Arabidopsis thaliana: one gene and its partner. The protein of the gene in region 1 interacts with the protein of each later gene in a pairwise test. Each region holds a gene or a part of one and is shown on either strand. Other genes may lie near its edges.

Evidence for each region.
Region 2: the proteins of RAB11c (region 1) and NAPRT2 interact in a two-hybrid assay, tested with the Arabidopsis thaliana proteins (one large-scale study listed by BioGRID).

Annotation. Positions count from the first base shown.
Region 1 is NC_003070.9:3,117,650-3,121,784, forward strand, and holds RAB11c (RAB GTPase 11C), read right to left. Parts: upstream 2,167-4,135; 5' UTR 1,923-2,166; coding exon 1,758-1,922; intron 1,190-1,757; coding exon 701-1,189; 3' UTR 506-700; downstream 1-505. Other genes in the region: AT1G09640 (Translation elongation factor EF1B, gamma chain), read left to right, coding at 2,513-2,521, 2,739-2,888, 2,977-3,037, 3,138-3,190, 3,310-3,411, 3,522-4,011, 4,124-4,135. UniProt on the Arabidopsis thaliana protein: Intracellular vesicle trafficking and protein transport.
Region 2 is NC_003071.7:9,969,925-9,975,965, reverse strand, and holds NAPRT2 (nicotinate phosphoribosyltransferase 2), read right to left. Parts: upstream 4,364-6,041; 5' UTR 4,148-4,363; coding exon 3,999-4,147; intron 3,908-3,998; coding exon 3,763-3,907; intron 3,675-3,762; coding exon 3,555-3,674; intron 3,463-3,554; coding exon 3,328-3,462; intron 3,235-3,327; coding exon 3,173-3,234; intron 3,077-3,172; coding exon 3,001-3,076; intron 2,778-3,000; coding exon 2,676-2,777; intron 2,542-2,675; coding exon 2,425-2,541; intron 2,335-2,424; coding exon 2,276-2,334; intron 2,171-2,275; coding exon 1,996-2,170; intron 1,913-1,995; coding exon 1,778-1,912; intron 1,693-1,777; coding exon 1,594-1,692; intron 1,511-1,593; coding exon 1,402-1,510; intron 1,326-1,401; coding exon 1,213-1,325; coding exon of another isoform or gene 1,174-1,212; exon of another isoform or gene 1,135-1,173; coding exon 1,057-1,134; 3' UTR 759-1,056; downstream 1-758. UniProt on the Arabidopsis thaliana protein: Catalyzes the first step in the biosynthesis of NAD from nicotinic acid, the ATP-dependent synthesis of beta-nicotinate D-ribonucleotide from nicotinate and 5-phospho-D-ribose 1-phosphate.

The DNA of each region.
Region 1 (4,135 bases):
TATTATAGGAGGCGGGAACTACTCGAAAGACTTGGAAATTTACCATTTTGACAAAAAACTTGCTAGAAAATAACTAAAATAAAAGTAAATCATTCTTCTAATTTTTTTCAATTTATCAACTTTAAAAGTATATTTCCTTTTCTTCATAAATCTCATAAACTAGCAAAAAGATAATGTCATAAACTAATACTATAAAATATATATTTTGTTTTTTTTGTTCCGTCAAATATATATTTTTGGTTTTGCCTGTATTCTTGTTGACTTCCGTTTTTTTTTTCCCCCTTTTTTTTAATTAACTTCCTTTCTTTGCTTTTCCATTTCTTCTTGATTGAAAAATGTATATTGTGTGATTTTGTCTACTTTATTTAAATTATCTTTGAAATCGAAGAATTTCTGCTCTATTAAAAATTCAAACTATAGTCTACGTTGGTATTTGTTTATTTCATTTTATACTCTGCTTATTTTTCTGATACTACATTACAACTACCACTCAAAACTACAATTAATTCCCTAAAAATATTTTTCGTTTCCAAAATTTGTTTTGTGTGAACGATTCCGAACTCCACAATTGATATAAAAAATTATCTTTGAGTTATATTATCAACAACAGAAAAAAGAAAGAAAACAAATACAACGCAAGCCTTGAAATAAAGTCTCATAGATATTTGGCTTTTTTTAAGTGCAACACAAACAAAGCCTTTCAAGACGATGAGCAACAAGGCTTCTTAGCGTTTGATTCAGAAGTAGCAGCCACATCAATTGTTTGGCCTTCCTTGATGTTGGCATTTGCAGTTGTCTGGTCTGAAGATATCGACTTCTTGCTGATGATCCTATAAACCTCCGAGAGAATCGTCTGAAAAGCCTTTTCTACGTTTAATGCCTCGAGAGCCGATGTCTCGATGAAAGATAAGCCTTCTTTCTCTGCATAGCTCTGAGCATCCTCTGTGGCAACTGCTCTGAGATGCTTCAGATCTGTCTTGTTCCCAATCAACATGATCACTATATTGGAATCTGCATGGTCTCTTAGTTCTTTTAACCACCTGCTTACATTCTCAAACGTTGTTGGCTTGGTGACATCATAGACCAAAAGAGCTCCAAGTGCACCTCTGTAATAGGCGCTAGTTATGGCTCTGTATCGTTCTTGCCCAGCCGTGTCCCATATCTGAGCTTTCACAGTCCTTCCTTCCACCTTAGAACAAAGATCATAGGTTTTTTAATAGGTTAATTCAGATCTAATGAGCAGCAGACTCTATGATTAGTGTGTCTGCAACAACAAAATTAGTAACTTCGCAGCTAAATTCCACAAACAACCCAGTAAGAAAACTAGAAACTGTGAAACAACAACCATGATTCATACTTCAAAAGAAAATCATGTTCGAGATCAATTTCAGATGAAGAGATTCTTAGATCTGCCTTAAACAAGGTTTTAGATCTGACATGTGAGGGAGCCTTACACTACCACGTACCAGAGTATCGACAAATTTGGGAACATTATCAATAAAACGCTTAAATTAAGAGATACCAAAGCAAAAATCTCGACCAAATGAAAAAAACAGGCACCACACATGTAAACATCAAAATTCAAAACCAAGCCCAAATGTTCCTACACACAATGACTGCTTCCGAGTATTCATACGAACACAGATACGGATCGAATCGAAAAGCACCGGATGCTGCTTAACTTAGAACTAAACCTAGATCCAGCAACATTTCGATTACACTATATACTATATATATAGAGAGAGATGTGTGCGTACTTGGAGAGTACGAGTAGCGAATTCGACACCAATGGTGGATTTGGATTCTAAGCAGAACTCGTTGCGAGTGAATCTAGAGAGGAGATTAGACTTGCCGACACCGGAGTCTCCGATCAAAACCACTTTAAACAAGTAGTCGTATTCTTCGTCCGGTCTTCTCGCCATTGTTACACTTTTCTCGAGGAGTGCTTTAGATTTGGGATTTTGAAATAGAAAAGGAGAAGATGACAGAAATAAATAAATAATTTAATTTCTCTTTCCCCTTGGATCTTCTCTATTCAACCTTCTCGGCTTGTTATTGCCCAACGACGAAGACCTTTTCTTGTCAAGTTGGGCTTACTAAAAAAGCCTACATATATGTAATTCATTTATACATGCTAATAAAAGGGAAAGTAATTAGAGCTTAACCGGAAAATAAACAAAAATCAGAAATAAAACCAAACAAAACCGAGCCAAACCAGAGGAATACACTCAATACAGATTTTAAAAACCCTACTTCTTCATCATCATCCCTTCAACACTCCTTTATAGCTTTTCTCCGCCTCAACTTTTTGCTTCTTCTCTCTCGATTTGCTCTCACGGAAGATTCTTCAGAATATCTGGTAAGATCCATCGATCGAACAATCTTTTTTTCTCCAGTTAGCTCATATTCATATTTATGATCATGTCAATTGCGAGCTCACTGCTTGATTTTTTTTCCTTGGAACCAGATCCGATATCAGAAGCCCCAAGTTCGCTTGAATTCCGTCTGAGCAATGGCTTTGGTGAGTTCTCTATGATTGTCTACTGTTACGATCGCATCATGTATCGATATAATTGTAGAAACGTTAGATTTGTAAATTTTAGGATCTAAGTTTATAGAACGATTGTTCATACACCAAATTGATTAAAATTATGTTAGTTTGGATATGTAGCTACTCTATTGTTAAGTTATTGATTTGGAATACGTATTATTGTGCTGATGATGAATTACGATTGCAGGTCTTGCACACGTACAAGGGAAACAAAAGTGCTGAGAAGGCACTCATTGCAGCAGAGTACGTTGGTGTGCAGATCGATGTGCCCTCTGACTTTCAGATGGGTGTCACTAACAAAACCCCTGCGTTCCTCAAGATGAACCCTATTGGAAAGGTTTGTCATCACTGGTGTTTGCTAAATTTCTGGACTGAGTATTATTAAGTCTATTTTTCAGCTAACCAAGAGTTATTGATCTTGCTAGGTTCCTGTACTTGAGACTCCCGAGGGTTCAGTATTTGAAAGCAACGCAATTGCCCGTTATGGTAAAGCATTCATAACTTTCTCCTTTAATTGTCTCTCAGTGTCTAGTTTGATTGCTTGTTGTCGTTTGGGTTTAATGGATCTGTTGATATCTCAATACAGTAAGCCGATTGAATGGTGACAACTCTTTGAACGGATCCTCCCTGATCGAATATGTAAGTAGCTGTTTTTTCCCTGGGGGCTACTCTTCTCTAATCCATTGACACCTCTTCTATTGTTTGTCATTCTATTTGTTAGTATTCTCAATGGTTATCTGCATGTTGTTTTTTCGCAGGCACAAATTGAGCAATGGATTGATTTCTCTTCATTGGAGATCTATGCAAGTATCTTGAGGTGGTTCGGCCCAAGAATGGGCTTTATGCCATACAGTGCTCCGGTAAGCTTTTTTGACTTTCATTGGTTGTTTCATTCACTCTTTGTGATGGCAATCTAGGTATTCTTTTCACTATATAAATAGTCTCATCCGTGATTGTTATATAAATGAAGGCTGAAGAAGGTGCGATCTCTACGTTGAAGAGAGCACTTGATGCTCTGAACACACATCTCACGTCTAACACTTACCTTGTCGGACACTCTATTACCCTTGCTGATATCATCACTGTCTGCAACTTGAACTTGGGATTTGCTACTGTCATGACCAAGAAATTTACCTCTGAATTTCCTCATGTTGAGAGGTACTTCTGGACTGTGGTTAACCAACCAAACTTCACTAAAGTGTTGGGTGATGTCAAACAGACTGAAGCTGTCCCTCCTATTGCTTCCAAGAAAGCTGCCCAGCCTGCAAAGCCCAAAGAAGAGCCTAAGAAAAAGGAAGCCCCAGTAGCAGAGGCACCTAAGCTTGCTGAAGAGGAAGAGGCACCAAAGCCCAAAGCCAAGAACCCTCTTGACTTGCTACCACCAAGCCCTATGGTTCTAGATGATTGGAAGAGGCTTTACTCAAACACCAAATCTAACTTCCGCGAGGTTGCTATTAAAGGTGTGTGGTGATATCTTCCTCTACCTAGTTTTTCAGCTTTGCTATCAGGGAATTATTTAGCTATTGGAATCAATTGTTTTTTATCATGTCTAATATTGTGGCTCAAATGCAGGATTCTGGGACA
Region 2 (6,041 bases), on another chromosome or scaffold:
AATGGCCAAGTCAACTAAATTAACTATTTTTTAAGAAGTCAAACTAAACTTTAGGATTTAAATGACATTTGAAAAGTTCATGTTTTTTTCGTCAACAATATGAAAGTTCATGTTTTCTCAACATTTTTTTCTTTAATCAATCTATTAATTTTCACTAAAGAATTGTTGTTTTGAAAATATGAACGGAGCCAAAAAAAAAAAGAGTATTGGTCCCGACCAGTTTTGTGTATACTATGTGTTTCTTTTATATCAACAAATTTAACTTTCATCCAAGAAAACCCACGCCCATATCGAGTGCCCTGCCCTCGAAGCCATGGCTATTTGGAGACCATAAGAATTCAAAGTTACACTTGTATAACTCTGTTGTATAAGACCAAAACTATCACTTGTTTTTAACCTCAATTTGGATGGATTATCGTCTTGTCATTTTTAGTCATCTTGTATTCTTGTTAAGTGATTTTTCGTTAAGTAATGGTTTCCTTATATTCCATATTTTTTTTTACTGTTTGGTAAGTTTCTGTAATAAAGTTTTACTCCTCATTTACTCTGTTGTATTTTTCTATTCTCATATTCCATAATTCATCTTTTTGGAAATGAATTTTGAATATGTGGTTAGTGACTAGGTCCACCCCAAACGTCCTAGTAACGCCTAAAGAAGTTTTTGAAGAAAGGTAATGTTCTTCAAATCTCTGCTAGAAAAAACTCAATTAACTCAACTGCTTACCAATCCGTTTGCAACAGTAAGTTGTCAACCATATGACGAAACTAAACCTGATCCAAAATCGTTGACTTGAGTAAATGTTTTTACAGTCTCCAGTATGTTTACAGCTGTAAATATAAAATCTTATTGAATCAGTTGAAAACAAAGTTCCAGTGAACGCAGAGAGTTTCTTTCCTCAGTAAGAAAATGAAACTTACTACGACAATGAGAGATCATCAAAATGTTGTAAGAAAAAGAAACTAAAAGTGAAAAAAATGCATATTTGTGATGCTGTGGTATATAAATTATATACATTACACCAAACCAAAACCAGATTCTTCTTTTTGGTTGTTCTGTCACTGCAATTCACCAACAGGTGCTTCGTTTAGCCATAAGAAGTGGATGAAATCGTACAGCTTTGCGCTTACACTAACCTGTAAACCATGAGAGAAAAAAACATTTACACAGATTTCTCAGAAACTGAAAAACATGTTTGTCGGATAAAACCATACCTTATAAGGAGTTGGGTTTAATCTCCTCATATGATCAGGTCGCATGTTTTCGAGCTGTTTGATGCAACGGTCTCTTATCTCTTTCAAAGGCGGTAATACTTCTCTTGCTTCATCTTCATTGGTATAGAGAAACAATAATCAGTGAAAAGCATTGTCATTAATAACTCTACGGTACCGGAAAATCTTTACCTGCACTTCCACGCCAATAACATTTGAGGAGCTCTTCGACACGTTGTGGCACTACATATGCTCTTTTGGATTCGTTGAATGGGTGACGACAAAGTAAACGCTCACCAACCTTTGATATCAAGAAAGATATTATGTAAAAATGCAATAAGGTAATGAGATTAAAATCTTTGAGAGAGTTATCTTTCGTTTTACCTTTGGAGGTGGTTCGTTCTCTCCAGTCATTATATCTACCAGAGGGTAACCTTCTTTGCCGTATAATCTGTAACTTCGCTTTTTACACGGTATTGATACCTAAACGAATCAGAATGATAATCAGATTAAGTGCAATGTGACATTGAATGTTCAGAACACCAAGAGAGAGAGAGAGAGTTTTAACCTTTGTAACATCTTCAGAAAGTTTAATCCGAGGCTGATTGTTTATCTCCACAAGTTTGAAAACGCAACCTAAGGCCGCTTGTGAATAGCAAGTGACCAAGTAGGTCCCGATGCCAAAAGCATCCACCTCATGTCCCTATAGAGATGAAAGAAAAAACACTGCTTAATAATAATCAATCTTTCGGGGGCATGGCATTTGAGAGTGGGTTAGGGAGTCACCTGTTTATTTAAAGCGTCAATCGTCTCTTCATTTAGATCATTACTAGCAGTGACGACCATCTTCCCAAAACCAGGCACTTTTAGTTCTCTCTCTACCGTGCAGAAGAAATTTCTGGCCTCTCTAGATAGATAAGCTAAATCACCTGAATCCAGTCTAATACCTAATGCTTTATATCTGCGCAGCACAATAAACATCAATTGCATCTCAAATTCCATATGATCCTGAAGAAGTACAAAGTCAAGTCAGACGATCGGGTATTGATAAGAGATTCTTACACACCCAAAGTCATTGAGTGCTAAAGCAACTGCACAGAAGTTAGGGATTCCACTCTTCATCACCTGTAAAACAGTCAGCAAAACACTAATATAAGAGTTTATTAGAAATCCTAAGGCTCAAATGAGCTATCTACTATGGTGTTTAATGCTCACATCGTATGTATCTACGAGGGCAAGAAAAGTTTTGGGGAATGCCAGTGCATATGAGGTGAAAGCTGCTAGCTCGCTTTGATTTGTCTCAGAGAAAATGCCACTTAGAGATGGTGAATACTGTCATCCACAAAGAAACAAAACATAAGAAAAACTGTGACAAAGATTCAAGCAAAGGGTTGAAGCAGAAATAGAACAATGGTCCTGAGACTAGAAAACAGGAAGAGGAAGAGCAAAATGTGCAATAAACAAACCTGAATCTTTTTTAACCATGTCTGAACATGACTAACAAAATCCTCGCACGTGGTTTTCCCATCAGCACTACGAAGTACTTTGTCAACAATCTCATCAGTACTCTGCAATCCAAAGTTAACTAATTATATCGAAAATGCTTTTGTGATATTGTTATGAGCGAGGATATTAAGTGTGCATCAGAACCATGGCTAATAAAGTTATAGCAACAAAGGCATTGACAAGAATATCTTATTTTCACGAAACTTTGTGTTATCGTCTCTACTAGCTAACTCAAGTATGTAACCTCCACATAAAAATTGAAACTTTTGGCTGAAGTGAACTGACCATGAATGAGCTAACATAAGCATGAGAGTGTGTTCCACGAAGAGGAATCCCAAAAAGTTTTCCAGCTGCTACATTACTGTCATTGGCAAAATACCCAACAACACAAAACACATCATTTCCACATTCCCTTTCACCTACTTCCAGATCAACAAAAACAAAAAGCAAGACTTGCCTTGTTGCATCAAAACCTCCAAGGTAGCAATATTTTGATGCGCTTATTGCACCATCCGGACCCTAAGATTCCAACACTAATAACATCAGACAGAGATGGAAAGAACAACACAAAAGGCAATATATCAAAAAACAAGAGAGAGATTTATAGGAAACCTGAGCCCTTCGAGCACCAAACTCGAGTAGACTCTTAGATTTTCCGGCAACAAAGCGATGCCTAGCTGCGTTAGTAGCTACCAAAGATGCAAAATTGACAAGATTGAGGAATGGAGTTTCCAACAATTGAACAACCTATGGAGATTTTACAACAACTGATGAATCATTCATTCAAGAAAACTATTCCTTAAACAATCTTCACAAATGAAAGAGACAAAGAGACTCACACCAACAGGTCCTTCAACTCTCATGAGAGGTACTTTAGGAAAAACAACTGATCCTTCCGGAATTGCATAAACTTCAACATCAGAACAATCAAGCCCTCTAAGATAATCACAAAAAGCTTCCTAATTTGAATCACAAACATAAAACCCTGATTTAAAAATCCAAACTTTAATCAATAACAATCTAAAAACAAACAGATTTTTGATATACCTCAGATCCAGGCAAACACTCTTGAACGAAATCGATTTCTTCATCAGTCAATTTGAAATTGGCTAAGAACTTAACACACTCTTCTAATCCAGCAAACACAGTGTACTCACCACCAAATGGGTTCTTACGAAAATACAGATCGAAACTGAAAAGGAAACAAAAACAATTTCAAATATACAAAACCATTCAGAATTCAACATCAAAAGCAGAGCATGAGAAGAGATTGTGTGTTGTACACGGATCGTTCGTTGTGTTTGCCAGCTTTCCAATAAGCATAAGCCATGGTGAATTGATAAAGATCATTGAGTAAAGGTGTGACCATTGGATTCGTTGGTCCGTCAATGATCTTCTGACCCAATTCTGAGCCGTTCTCTTTCGGCTCCATTGTCGTCGCTTCCAATTTGTGTGGAACAATTGGCTTCGTATGAGTGAGTGTGTGTGTGATTACGAGAGAGTGAATGGACGAGGAACACTGGTTCTTGGTTGTTTATATTGGAGTGGTCAAAGGAAAAAGAAAAAAACAAGTGTGTTTAAAGAAAGAGACGACGACCACCACACAAAGCAAAACTTGCTTTGAACTTGACCTAGTCTTTCTTTAAGAGCCTTTATTGGTTTCTAATTATTTCTCATTTTAGAGTTTAGACTAAAACGAGGTTTAATTTTCGTGGTTGTTGGCTCTTAGATTATTGGAATTTTCACGTTTAAAAGAATTTTATGTGTTGAAAATTGGCATATGGTAGCCAAATTCAACTAATTATAATAATTACTCAGAAAAATTTACATATTGGTATTGGTAACAAATAACAATATCTTGTATCTCTAATAAATTAATGAAAAGAGTTTAGCTGTTTTAATCTAAAAAACTTAAATTACAGAGGCGGGGAATTTTTTCATTTCAAATACATTTTTTTGGTGTGATTTATTTCACATACATAATTCGGAAAACTTGTATAGCGTAAATCTATTGATTAATAATGGTACACACTTGCTGTGTTATGATATATTTGTGTATTTAATGATTTTAGTTTATTGACTATTTTTAATGTGCAATATTAATGATTTTTAGCTCTTTTGCAATCAAATATGCAGTATGATATTTGATTAGTAGTAAATATTTACATTTCACATATATGTTATAGTATTTGATGAATATTGTACTTATAATATATAATATTTGTTAACATTAAAATAGAAAAGGTTAATGTAGATTAATACATCTTAAAACTTCAGTTTCTTAAAATATATAAATATTGTAAAAATGTTCAGATGCTTATTATGGAAAAACAAAACAAAACAGAATTGCATAACACCAAAAATTTTAAACATGATTATGAAAAAATCAATCCAAATTTAGGTACATTTATTTATCAAAGTTTAATTTTACATCAAACAATAGTATCTAAAATGAATTAAAATGAACTCAAACTTAAGACTAAACATAAGATTGTCCCAACTTGGTTTTTGAAGCCATATCGCATATGGCCTAACCATATTCATGGTCTCTTTTATTTGTCAGTGTCATGATATGAGTATCACAATTTGATAGGGTTCTCTTGAAGTTGTTGATTAAAAATAATCAAAACAAATAATTCTGGAGAGAGCCTCCTACGTGGCAGTCAGTGGTTGGTTGATATATTTAACCAACAAAAAATCCTTGTGTCTTTATTTTTCATTCCGTCGGGAAATTTTCTCACTCTCTCTATTGGTCGTCTCTCTCGACGCTGCTCACCATTCCGAGTTCGTTTCACCAAATCGATGACCCAATTCTATATGTGTTTGTCCCAAATCCAATCTCCCACCAAACCCTTGCTTCGTTCCCTCGAATCAGAGCATTGTCAGATAGGAAGATGACTAAGCTTTGATTGATTTAGTTGTGTAGATGATTTGGTTCTTTAGAAAACGAAGAAGTTATCTGATTGATCTGTTTCGTTTTATTGTTTGTTGCATGGGGATCAGTGTTGTTGATTTGGATCCCATAAGAACCAGCTTTTGCTTGGGTACAGTCATTCTAGTAATCTAGTCTGTTCTCTTGGGTTATTAATATTTTCTTCAGTTTGCATTATTAGCGAGAGGAAGTCTACATATGTGTTTGATTGATTCGTAATGCTGGTTATCGTTAACACCTTTATATGGTTTTAAAATCAGGTGATCGTGTGCCCACTAAGTTGAAGAAAGCCATCATGCAAGCCCGAGAAGACAAGAAGCTGACTCAGTCCCAACTTGCTCAAGTATTTTCTCTTTTCTCTGTATCTATCTCTTTCTTTTGTTGCTTTTTCTTA